3 linked regions of the Tribolium castaneum genome follow. The protein of the gene in region 2 interacts with the protein of the main gene of each other region in a biochemical or structural test. Links are inferred from orthologs where the notes say so. Each region holds a gene or a part of one and is shown on either strand. Other genes may lie near its edges.

What was found.
Region 1: of the proteins of tum (region 2) and polo, one has a biochemical effect on the other in vitro, tested with the Homo sapiens proteins (3 studies listed by BioGRID and IntAct, with this or other methods). The link is inferred for Tribolium castaneum from reciprocal best matches to the Homo sapiens genes RACGAP1 and PLK1.
Region 3: the proteins of tum (region 2) and pbl form a complex in vitro, tested with the Homo sapiens proteins (3 studies listed by BioGRID and IntAct, with this or other methods). The link is inferred for Tribolium castaneum from reciprocal best matches to the Homo sapiens genes RACGAP1 and ECT2.

The regions. Positions count from the first base shown.
Region 1 is NC_087398.1:11,008,005-11,012,331, reverse strand, and holds the start of polo (serine/threonine-protein kinase polo), read left to right. Parts: upstream 1-1,524; 5' UTR 1,525-1,659; coding exon 1,660-1,752; intron 1,753-1,805; coding exon 1,806-2,030; intron 2,031-4,327. UniProt on the Homo sapiens protein: Serine/threonine-protein kinase that performs several important functions throughout M phase of the cell cycle, including the regulation of centrosome maturation and spindle assembly, the removal of cohesins from chromosome arms, the inactivation of anaphase-promoting complex/cyclosome (APC/C) inhibitors, and the regulation of mitotic exit and cytokinesis.
Region 2 is NC_087394.1:20,769,711-20,773,809, reverse strand, and holds the start of tum (rac GTPase-activating protein 1), read left to right. Parts: upstream 1-1,290; 5' UTR 1,291-1,450; intron 1,451-1,472; exon of another isoform or gene 1,473-1,499; 5' UTR 1,500-1,521; coding exon 1,522-1,968; intron 1,969-2,018; coding exon 2,019-2,211; intron 2,212-2,268; coding exon 2,269-2,426; intron 2,427-4,099.
Region 3 is NC_087398.1:7,933,443-7,937,470, reverse strand, and holds the start of pbl (protein ECT2), read right to left. Parts: upstream 2,806-4,028; 5' UTR 2,580-2,805; coding exon 2,507-2,579; intron 2,339-2,506; coding exon 1,992-2,338; exon of another isoform or gene 1,917-1,991; intron 1,757-1,916; exon of another isoform or gene 883-1,756; intron 241-882; coding exon 28-240; intron 1-27. Other genes in the region: U2 small nuclear ribonucleoprotein auxiliary factor 35 kDa subunit-related protein 2, read right to left, coding at 3,384-3,618. UniProt on the Homo sapiens protein: Guanine nucleotide exchange factor (GEF) that catalyzes the exchange of GDP for GTP. Promotes guanine nucleotide exchange on the Rho family members of small GTPases, like RHOA, RHOC, RAC1 and CDC42.

The sequences.
Region 1 (4,327 bases), on a different chromosome or scaffold from region 2:
AAGACAAATTTTTTTGAAGTTTTTTTCCCAAAAGAATACCTCCAGTATTTAAGAAGATTTTTAAGTTTGCAGAACTTCAAACACCCATAACTAAAAATTTTCAAATGAAATGCCATCATTTTTTCCTATACTTTTGTTTAACAGTTTTCATGCGGATTTTTTGTTGATATTGTATGTAGGGATGTAGGTAAATGAAATTATGGAATCAAAGTTTTTCAAATCCAAATTCAATGAATTCATTTTGTTTTAACGGAAAGGAAAACAAAATTTTGAACAGAATTTATCGTTTATTCAATGAAATGTTTCTTTGTCAAACTGCGCAAAAATATCTGTGGCTAGCAATGTCAAAAAAATTAACATAACTTGAAAATTATCACAAATAAGCATAAGAAATGCCAACACAGATCGTTGCAGAATTAAATTTTCTTCTATTTAGTGAAATAAAAACTTATAGCATGTAGAAGCTGTCCAAAAATAACGTTAAGATTTTGGATTTTGTAAACTTTTTTGAACACACTGAAGGAAAGATTTAGGCTTTGTTTTTGATTGGCCAAATACTGTTTCTAAAATTCTAAAAATAGCAGAATTTACGATTATTGAAGTGAAAGGTGCAAATCCAAAAATTTCCAAAAAATTCTGATTATTTAGAAAATAGCTAAATTTAGGAATAGGAAAAAGCTAATAAAAAAGTTCATAGCGATTTTCGATACAATCGGAAGTGCCGCCATTTTGAAAATATTTTCAATCAATGAGCTATGGCTCTAGGCTAATTTTCAGATAAATGTTATTATCAAAACTTTCAGTACTTTTTTCAATACTCCGAAACTTAGTTTAGACAGAACACTTTGTATTCGTCAAACATTTTCTCGTTTATTATTAAACTCTAATAAAAATAAGTCAAAATAAATTTCCCGTGTGCCTTTTTTTTTCCTCGAAAACCAAGTGCAGTAATAATAATTGCCAGATTTATTTTTTTGTGAAAAAACAGTGTTCTCATAAATCATACACATTCGATGTTGCATAACAGATGACGCTTTGCAGTTTTGACTTCCCCAAAAATAAAAATACGTACATGTTTATGGTGTTTTTGAAAAAGTGTAGACAACGCAAAGTTAAAATTTTATATTTTATAAATTTTTATAAAACGTATAAAATTTGTCTAGGAAGAACAAGAATTTTAGGAGTAGGCCTTCGCCCTGCCTGAATGCGCGGCCTACAGTCCTGTATAAATTTCTGTTTAGTTTTTTTTTAATATTAATTGTTAGGTTGTTAGCTAGGCAACGCCCTCAGCAGAAGCATTTTGTGAGTTGCATAACACATAAATCAATGTTTTGATAGACTAAATTTAAAATACGGTCAAGATCAGCGTTTGGCCCAATTTTTGATCGACCAAACCAAAGTTGTTGAGTCAATATAAACCACTTTGTGTATTTTATTGTGGTCTATTTTTGTTTGGTGGTTAGAGATCGCGTTCTGCAAGTAGTCACTTCCGTTGACAATTCTTTTTTCCCCACCATTTTCCTGTCCAATCAGCCAATCAGCTGCCGGCGTTTGAAATCTTCTCAACTGCCAAAAGTTTTTCAAGCCGTGGTGGATGCTTGCCGTAAAAACCCAACCAAACGCAATAACTGTGAATAAAACTAGGAGTAATTAGTGAAAATGTCGAAAGTGGACGATTATGTCGTAGTTCCCGACTATATATACGACGAGAACACGAAAATTAGGTACAAAAAGGGGCAGTTCTTCGGCAAGGTTAGTGTTGTTTTTGTCGATGGGTTCATGTGATAGTGGCCGTTTTTTCTTAGGGCGGATTTGCAAAATGCTACGAAATTACGAATGTGGCCAACAGCCAAACGTTCGCCGGGAAAGTCGTCTCGAAAAAGCTGATAGTCAAGGAAAACCAGAAGGAGAAAATGACTCAGGAGATACAGATACACAAGTCGTTGAAACACAAAAATATTGTCGGTTTTTATAGTTTTTTCGAGGATACGGACAATATTTATATAGTTTTGGAGCTGTGCAGAAAGCGGGTGAGTTTTTGGCCCTTTAAACTGCGTCTGTTTCCTGGTTGTTATCGCTGCTCACTCTGTATTATGGGAAACTATAATATTGATAGTTTTATCACCAAAACTAATATTTAAACTGATGTCTGTCATGGCCAATGGTTGCACAAACAAAGAGCTAAATTAATTGGTAAATTAAACAACAGTCCACCTCTTTAAGACACTGTAGTTTGTATAATTAATTATTCATGTTGGTATCACTTGTGGCGCTTATACTTGGGTTTCTAAGTTAGGGAGGTAGTTCTAACTACAGTTTCCAGGTTTATTAATTTCAAAACCTCTTTTGACTCAAGTCGTAATGGAAAAGATTGTAGCAAAAAAATTATATTAAAATACCATTTTTATTGTACATAAATAAGAAGGGTAAATTATGAATGGGGGCTATGATGGGGGCTCGTAGATGACTTTGGTACCTTAGGCCCTAGTTGGTATTCCTTAAAACCTTTGATAAATTTACAAGTAAACAAAGTGCTTGCCAAAGTTTTTTGGAAAATATTTCAGAAAGCAAACACAGTTATTGATAAAATTGTGTTACTCTTATCTTTTGAGCTTCCTAGCTGAAAAATCATGAAATTAAAGCGAAATTTATTTAATTTAGCTTATTTTATTCGATTTTGCTCGTTTTTTTCCAAGCCAGTAAACACGTGTTTGAACTTACATTCTTAGTTTCTTGTAAAAATCACTAAATTTACTGAAACATTTTTTTTCCTTTTCCATTTACAGCCAATAAAGGAATTATCCCTGAAAATTGTGTACACGAGATAAAAACTAAGTTTTTTTTTTAGAAAAATTTACGCGAAAATGTGATTATTTCAACCAGAGATTCATTTATTGCACAAGAACTTTTTACAACAATAAATCTTAATCAAAAGTAATGTTATTTCTGCCTGTTTTTGAGCATTTAAGCATGTTTTAGAGCTAAAACCTGTTTTTTGAGACCGAAAAATTACCAGTTTGAATCCAAAATTATTTCGTTTTTTTTTTTTTCACCAGCAACGCAAATTTTTCGCGAAATCTCTTAAAAACAAGTCGAAAAGTCACCCAAAACATATACTAAAATGGGTGTTATTTTAGTGTTCTTCGACTTTCATTGAGTTAAAAATTAAGTTTTTTTCAAAAAATATACCTAAAAGTGGATGAAAATTCACCGAATATATCGAAATTTTTATTTTATATTTTTTAGTTCGAGGCTGATTTATTTGGAATTGATGTCAGTTTTTTTCGATTTATCACGTTTTTGGGCGAAATTTCATCAATAGTAAGCTTAAAAGATAAAAGTTTGGTCGCAAAGTGTGTTATTTTTATATTTTCTAAGCAAGTGTTTGGAGTTTCTTATGAATTTTCTAAATTTAGCTGAGTAAAATATTCTTTTTTCTTTTCCAAATGGTATTTTGTAATGAACAAACCGAAATTTCACCAAGTCACACTGAAAATTGTGTGAATTCTGAGTTTTTCGAATATTTAAACATGTTTTGAGATATTAACTAAATTTTTTTTAGAAAAATTTTGCTAAAGGTAGGTAAAAATTAGAATATTTTAACCAGAGATTCAATTATTAATTAATACTCAAAAATTTTTTACAACAATAAATTCTGATCAAAAATAACGTTATTTCTGCCTTTCTTGAGTATTTAGACATGTTTTAGGGCTAAAATCTCTATTTTTTTTGCTAGAAGTGACCGAAAATTAAAAATTTAAATCTAAAATTATTTCGTTTTGTCTTTTTTTAGCACGTTTAAAAAAACAGACCGAAAAGTCACCTAATTTTACTAAAATGGGTGTTACTTTAGTATTCTTCAACTCTTGAGTTTTTTTTTTTTTTCGAAAAATTTACCGAGAAATGGATGAAACATCTCCGAATTAGATCAAAATTGAAGTTGTCTTATATTTTTCTAAGTTCAGACTGATTTACTTTGCTAGAACTTGTTAAAAGACTCGTAAAAATCACAAAATAAATAGACATTGAGTTTTTTTCGATTTATCGCGTTTTTTAGCAAAATTTTGTTATAATAGGCCGATAAACCACAGCATTTAGTCGAAAAGCATGTTGTGTTTGCGAGTGGTTGACACCAGTGGCGTATCCACAGGGGTTCCGTGGAACCCGGGCCCGGAGCCTAAAAGGGCCCGCAAGCTTCAAGAGCTCTTCGATTCAAATTTTAATGAAAAAAATTGTTTCTAAATTTATCCCAGGCAATAGGCGATTGTTGTAAAGTATAGTCTGCAATTGTAAAGCGATACGGTCTAAATAATACTACGAATTCATA
Region 2 (4,099 bases):
TTGTTACTAATAACCGGCGCACCAACTCAATGCTGTGTGATAGAAAAATGCCTTCATACAAGGTGTCCGTTTTTCGAGCTTCCCTAAGGGGATCTCAATTATTAACATACAATTTAATCTTACATTACATGCTGATTAAAATGAAGAAAAAAGCATTTTTACGATGAGTGCTTTGGAAAAAGTCCAACAATTTTATTTGTAAACAAACTGATTTTGGAAGTTCAGTTGAATTTGAATCTGAATCACATTTTCGTCAAACTTACTTACTTAGAAACTAAACAACTTAATAAGCTTTAGAAGTTTATTTTTCGCAAAATGAAACAACGAGCAGTTATAAAAATTCGGCTCACATATTTTAATAGAACTGTCAAAACCTAGTTTGTTAAGGATGGATTTTACAATCGTCAGATAAATCCCAGATAAGGTATTATACTATAGATACTATGGTTACAATTGTTTCAACAATGTATTTTTTTAAATTTATTCCCAGGATAAAGTCATCCAACGATTGTAAAAACGTTGTTTTTCTAACGCATTCTTTGCAGAAACATCTTTTTTCTAATTTTAATCAGCATGTAAGATTCGATCATACCATGTAAAATGTAATACATCATTGTAATCAGAAACATAAACACTTTTCAAAAATATAAGTGTTAAATATGGCGTTCATAAGAAAAAACAAAGTTTAGTGTTGTAACTCTGACATCAAGAACATCTTGGAAAAGGCGATGCCAGATTTAGATTTGTTTGAAAACTAGGTACCTACAAATTTTTAATTTTTCTTAATAATCTAAAAACTAAAAATGACACATCAAATTATTTTTCAGGTAATTATCCAACACAAAAATACGCAATTTTACCCTAACTTAACCAACTTCCTATCTCAATAACTGAGAGATCCCCATGATGGAGATCGAAACCGACACCTGTGTATTTAAATTTTTTTATTTTAACAAGAAAAATAATGTCAGTTAATGGATTTTAATTAATAATTTTAATAAAAATTTTCATGTTTATTTGCTGCAATTTTATTTGAATACATTTGTTTGGCGGATAACGAATTCGAACTAATGATTCGTATTCTTGCCACGGCAGCGCCACGTGCCGATGATCGTTAGCCGCCCTTGACACTAAACGTTTAATGTTTTGAACACACAAGTTACAAAGACTTTAAAAACAATTTAACGGATAGTATAAGCAAGCTTCAATAAATCTTTAGACTTCATATTTTTGATTTGAAGTATGGCTAGCGCTAGGTATGGATCATTACGCTGCGGTCGGTTAAAGTATGACAGCTGATCGGTGAGCTCCGATTGGTCATTTTCAAAATTGCATTTCTTCAACTGTAACTTCAAAGAACACGAAGCTTTAACTCTCATATTTGTTAGAATTTTAGTGAGTTTCTTGAGGAACATCGAGTGTTTTTGTGCTTTAGACACAGATTAGAGAGGTTAGTTGATCTGTGCTTTAGATGTGTAACAAGTTGAGTTTGAGTTAAGTGTGCAGTGCAACTAAGAAAAAATGTGTGACACTCCTTTTAAAACACCCCTACCGTATCGAACCCCCCGAGCTGACTTGAACCGAGACATGTTTGTGGAAAAAGGAGCCTCCGACAGTGATGAAAGCGTTGCCTCGTGTAATTCTGATAATATGGGTTCTGGATCAGGCCAGTCTTCAAACGGAGACATTTCCCTGGCGGCGCAATTTGATGATTTGATGCGGAGTTATCGCCCCTTTAGAAACAATGAGTTAGAGACTCTCCCAGCGTTTATGGAGTTTGTTGAAGAAGTGAAGTTATTGTATGTTGATTATTTTCAAGCACTGGATGAAATTAACAGGCTGAAAAATGTTCTCGATAATAAAGTAGTGGAATGTAGTGATTTGGAGAATAAGTTACACACAGCTCGGAAAATGATTGATAAGGAAAAGCTAATGGTTAGGACAGCCAGGAAGGAGAGGGATGAATTAGTTAGTGTTTTGTCTCGTTTTGTGGACATTTTATTAAAAATTGTTTTTAGGCTTCACAGATAAACCTTGTCAAAGACCTTCTCTTCAAGGATAAAAATACTACTATCAGGTTTTCGGATGAAATGAGGCAAAAATTTTCATTTTTGCATAATAATAACTGGCAAAGCGAGTGGGATTTGACCAGTGCAAATGGAAATGGTCATCATCCCCAACTTAGCGCTATCAGAGAAGTTAATTCAACTGGTAATTCTAAAAAACATAAAAACTGAACGTAAAATTAATACAATCGTTATGTTTTAGGATCCATGTTGTCAGACTTTAGCTATTCACAGTCAGAAGATGATTTAGATCATTCTCGTCTCTCTGGAGTTGCTTGGAAAAAACACAGGCCAAGCACAGGTGCCTCTGCCGAACCTGCAATTAAAAAAAGACGTTCTTCTGGAAATAAAGTTGTTGAGGTAATAAAGTTTATCCATATTTACACATTTTATTACATTTTTTGGATAAAGGGATTAAAGGGTCGATATAGTTTTTTTCAGGTTGTTTACATTGAACGAAATTTTATTTCTTGTCATTCTCAAAATTAGAGCCTTATTGATTCAGTTTTTTGTCTTTTTTGAGTGTTACTGACAATTCTCTACCTGAGAGCGAAAACAGCAAAAAGTCCAAAATGCTCAATATTCAGGACTAATTTTAAATAAAAGTTTAAGCACTTTTTAAAAATAGAAATTTAATAAAAAAATCACCAAATTTGATTGACAGTGACACGATTTTTGAATTTTAATACATTTTCCAGTCAGAATAAGTACATAATTTTTTTACCAAATTTCGTGGAACAACGTTTCAGACTGTTTAAGCTGAAATTTCAAATTTTTTCACAAAACCGACCCAAAAACCTTTAAATCAGGTTAAAATATCACCGTGAATTGTGTCATATATAATATCGGGTGACTGATATTAAAGATTATGTCAAAAAACAATTATTATTGGCATTCCTGGTTGTTTTGTTATGTCATTTCATGTGACAAATTTGTTACCAGCCTGACGACAAAAATCGCAGTCTTTAATGGTTACTTGGTATAAAAAATTACCAAATAAAATCAGACTGTGTTAGTTCTGTCGTAGCGAGAGTTGAATGTTTACGAATTTGGGTTAAAAATGAGAGTGATTTGCCTTTTTTAAACATTTTAGGTCGTTTTTCATTCAGAAACACTACAATTATTATTTTAAAGATTTGCGTCAAAATTTAACTGAAAAATTGTCGAACTACATCGAAAATGGTGAAATTTTTCCATATTTCAAGCGTTTATACACTTTTTCGAATTATGTATTTAGATTTTTTGCAAGATCTTTTTTCAGAAACGCATTTCTTCAATAATAATTGATAAGTCGGAAAATCAAAATAGAACGTAAATGGTTATTTTTCATTTTTTCGAGAGCTTTAGTTCAAACGTTTTTCCGGCAGAAATATTTTTTTTCAACCATACCGTAATGAACATTTTATTTTTGTTATGTTCTTGACGGAAAGTACCCTTTTACAGGATAGTCTGCTTGATCATTTTTCCCGCACTAGCCCAGTAAAAACGAGCTAATGAAGTTGGAAGTTGAGAGATTTGTTTATAATAAATATTAATTTAATGTACAATTATGTGCAGAAATGCTATATGAAGAATGAGGTATTGCAACTGCAGTCACGTTTTTAACATTCTTAATGACGTTATACGTTCTTTGGGGATCATCACGGTTGCAAAAAAAATATTGTACGCATCACGTCCGAAAAGTGATCTTCTGCTGCTACTCGTAAGCTACCAGAACTCGTCTTCGACTCGTCTTTGTATTAACTTACTCGTCCAGTAAAATCTCACTTTTCGGACTTGATAGGTAAATTACTTTTCCCGAAATCTTGTCAAAAATAAGCCAAAAAAAAAGTACTAGCAGAATTGTATAATTTTTATCTGTTTCATCCGTTTGGGCGCGTGTTTTAACTACAAACTTTAATTATTTGAAAAAAAATTGTGTCGAAAATTGTATTATTTTTGCCCCTTATGAGATAACTGATTCAGATTTTCGCGAGAATTTTCGACATAAGATCCATATTTTGTCTTATCCGAGGTTTTAAACACGCTTTTGA
Region 3 (4,028 bases), on a different chromosome or scaffold from region 2:
GGCAACATTTTCATTGCTAGATGTTACCACAAATGCATCAACCGTTGCACTAAAATTAATATCATGTCTTTTCTTCCAACTAGCATAGACCCAATCTTGATTCATCACAGGTACTCGAAATACGGCCGCATAACGATATTTTTCTCCATTACAAATGTTGGCAATTAAATGCGTCACTTTCTGGCTTATGTTTTTCCTGATGGAACCACCCATATGATGGATCAGTGGTACCAAAGTTGCCTGCAATAATGCATCATAAAAATACCCGATATTTAATTTTTTAGCGATGTTTAAAAAATTGGTTTATGTGTTTTGTGACCTGTAAATACACTTCACTGAGAGTATGATCTTTTTTCCCGTATAAATGTTCAATAAAAATAATAAATATGAGATATTTCGGTGTTCAAAGGTAGGATTATTCACTGATTAATCATACGTAAAAGTGTATTAATCATTCAAAGATGTCCCAGCTTTTTATATTCCTGTTGTTATTGAATTAAAGAACTTTCAGTCTATAATATGAATATATTAATGTAGAAAAACGTATAAGCATTTTAAATGCAAATTCAGTTTCGATATTCAAATGACAATGACTTCAAAATAATATTAACATTAAAGTTAGTTACGGTAATAAATAATTACTTAACACAGTTTATGCATTATCGAACAATCTTAATTAAAAAACTACATAATTCTGAAAGTAAATCGAAAAAAATATTTTTTCCGTTACATACTAAACTAAATAAAAATAAAGCGAAATTAAAGTCATCTGACAATGTAAATAATAATATTTATCACTTCACCTGTTTGATAAAACGCTGACTAATTAAATTAGCATTTGCTTATTTAGTGTATTTATTTCTGGACCTGAGAGCGAAAACAGTCCAAAATACTCAAAATTCAGAACTAATTTAAAACAAAAATTCTCATTTAGTAATCAATGTCACAATTTTGCAAAGAAATATTCGATTTTATTCGCTTTATAAGTAATAAGAGGCACTGAAAAAACTTAATACTTTAACGCCCTAAACTTATAAGGTTGTCTTTCAGTATGTCAAAAGCCAAAATAGTCCAAGGTGTAAATTAATGTCTAATGCATTGAAACTGTAACGAAATTTTTTTAAACAATTTAAATAATATTTATAAAGTAAAAAGGTTAATTGTCTTCCGGAAAATCTTCAGCATTTTGAACAGTAGGATGATTTCTGTAATTGTTCTAATATTCCTTTGGTATCGATTTAAGCTGTATCATCAAGTTATCGTAATTTCCGTTACTGATGAATTTGTGATCATTTCTAAGCTGGAGAAGGCAATATCAAAGACTTTTTGGTTTTCTTCTTACTTTCACACAAGAGGAAATTTTACAATTTCTGGTAAGATTAGCTCAGTCGTTACAGGTGAAAAAATTAAAATTATTTTCCTACATGCTTAGTGTTTCATTTTGTAAATAATGCCGTTTGTTATAGAAAGTGTGTCCAATGTTCACTTTTAATTATTATTTATTTTTTGGAAAAAATGGACTAGGCTGTTGATGCTCACAAACAAAAATAAAGCGAAATTAAACTCATCTGACAATGTTAACAAAAATATTTATCACTTCACCTGTTGATAAAATGCTGACTAATTAAATTAGCATTTGCTTTTTTGGTGTGTTTATTTGTGAAATGATCTTAGGTTTTTCTTTCGATTTACGTTCCATTGCAACTCTCAAAACCCACATTCGAAACGGTAACAACAAAATAATCGGCTGTTAAACGTGAGTACGTTGGTGATTATTCTATTTATAGCACCCAAATGCAAATTAATGTGTAGTACCCAAACATCACATGAATGAATAAAACAATGAGTGAATAACGAGCCAGATAATAAACATTTCCAAATGTCTTAAATACATTCAAATTGCTTTTAAATTCTAGGCGAATTTATTACATCATTAACGGCCAAACAAGCCCATTAATTACAATTGCTTGCACAATGGGAGTAATACTGACCAGATCACTTTTGTTCCTGAATCCAGTAAAGCAGACAACGACCCCCGTCATAGCCAGGTTGAAGAGGGGCCTCGTGTTGTCTGGAAGTGGCTCATTCTTGTTGGCTAGCTGCTGCAGAGCCAAGGGCCCCATAAGGGACTGCTTCTGTTTATATAAACAATTAAATACGTCTCCTTCGAAACTCTCTAATATAAAAACGGTACTAAAACTATCATCTTGAGCACAATCTTCTCCGTCTTTTGAAGTAACAACCGGCACCCGAAAGGACTCTGCGACGGTCCGAAGGGCTGTATCGGTGGTCAGACCCCCAACCAGACATATCCTTCGGTTGCTCTTTAAGGGTGCAACTAGATTAAAACAGAACATTAGTAACATCTGACCAAATAAATTCGTTTAGCAGCTCAGATAAATTGTTTTAACCTTGCTTTGATCAACATAACCTAACAAACTCCGGCCCGAAAATTGATTACAAGTGAGCGGGCAAGGGGGCGATTGGGTCAAAAGGGGGCCCTCACCGTCATTTCCCGCGGGTTCCTCCCAATTTGAGTCACTACAAATGGAACTTTGGGGCTGAATGCGTGCGTCCATTTTGAAGCGACTTTTTGGTTACACCATCAGTACTAAAGCACTAAATTCGCACGTTTTCGCGTCTGTCCCACAACCGTCTCTTATCACAACGTTAAAATCTCACACTTATCACACCACAAACTACCTTAAACACATTTTTGAGCGGTTTTACTTTGTTTGGAACTAAAAATGGACCATCCATTCCATACCAAAACTTCAAAGTCAAATGAAGCGCTCTGATTGGCCGATTCGATTCGTCAGGTACAGAATTACTAGCAGTTTCCGTCCCATCTAAGACAGTCTGCGCGTCAATCGAACATCCCCCGTACGTGAAACAGTGAGAGAAGGAAAACGGGCGTTTAGAAAAATTGAGACTAAACCGCGGTCATTCAAATTTACGTACAACCGTTCTTGGAAGTGACTCATCCTCTTCCACTTCTGCGCGGCAAAAAACCGTCGAATGAATTTTGCCGGATTGTCGCAAAATAGACACAAGTCTATTTTTGTAAATAGTTTTCCTATTAATAGAGCCGCAGGATTTGCCTCACGTAGGTCAGGTTTTGCGAAAACCGATTTTTGGAGGGCCCATTGATCGTTTTTGGCACCGCTTCCTCTCATTAATCGCATCCGAGAAAAAATACTTGCGGGAATAATCAGTATTTATTCACCCAGGTTTCCCACTATTATATTTTTGTTGACCAATTTTCAAGTTTGCCAATATTGCATACAGCTGGTCCAAAAGTGATGAATAACTGTATTCATTGCAAATAATAAAAACCAATAAAAAGTAGATGTTAAACGTTTATTCTAAACAACTTGTTACAGTCAATGGTGTTTGGACTTTTTTCTGTTACTCTTATTTTCTCGTCTATTTCTACTTCTGCTCCTTTTTCTACTTTTAGAACTTCTACTATGTGAAGTTTCCTGAGATCGTCTTTTAGAACTACAGCCATTTCTCGTGTGTTTTTCTTCACGTCTTTTTTCACTAGTTGTGTACTCTAATCTTTCCGGCGATTCGGACCACCTCCAATTTCTTTCTTCTGTCTCTGATCTGCTAATACTGTAAATGAAGTACTTTTTAATAAATCTCTGAAACTGTTTAGGATAATCAAGGTTGAACTATCCTGAGAGTGTCTGAAGAGGACCTGTTCAAACCACGTTCAAACAAGCGCCTGATCGCAAAATTTGAATTGAATTTTTAAGAAACGTAATATATGTACAAAATAATTTTTTACAACTGAATATTTTTAGAATAATTACTACCGTAGATTAATTATATTCAGAAGAATTCAGATTACTGCGGAACCCTGCAGGATATTTTTTTAAATATTTTTCGAAGGCAATTTAAGGCTACACATATAATCGATAGATCTGACAATAAATTACTATTTATTGTCCTGAAGAAGCCCCAAGAAGGTGGCGAAACGTAGACAATATATCACGTACCAAAAAATAAACATGACTGCATTC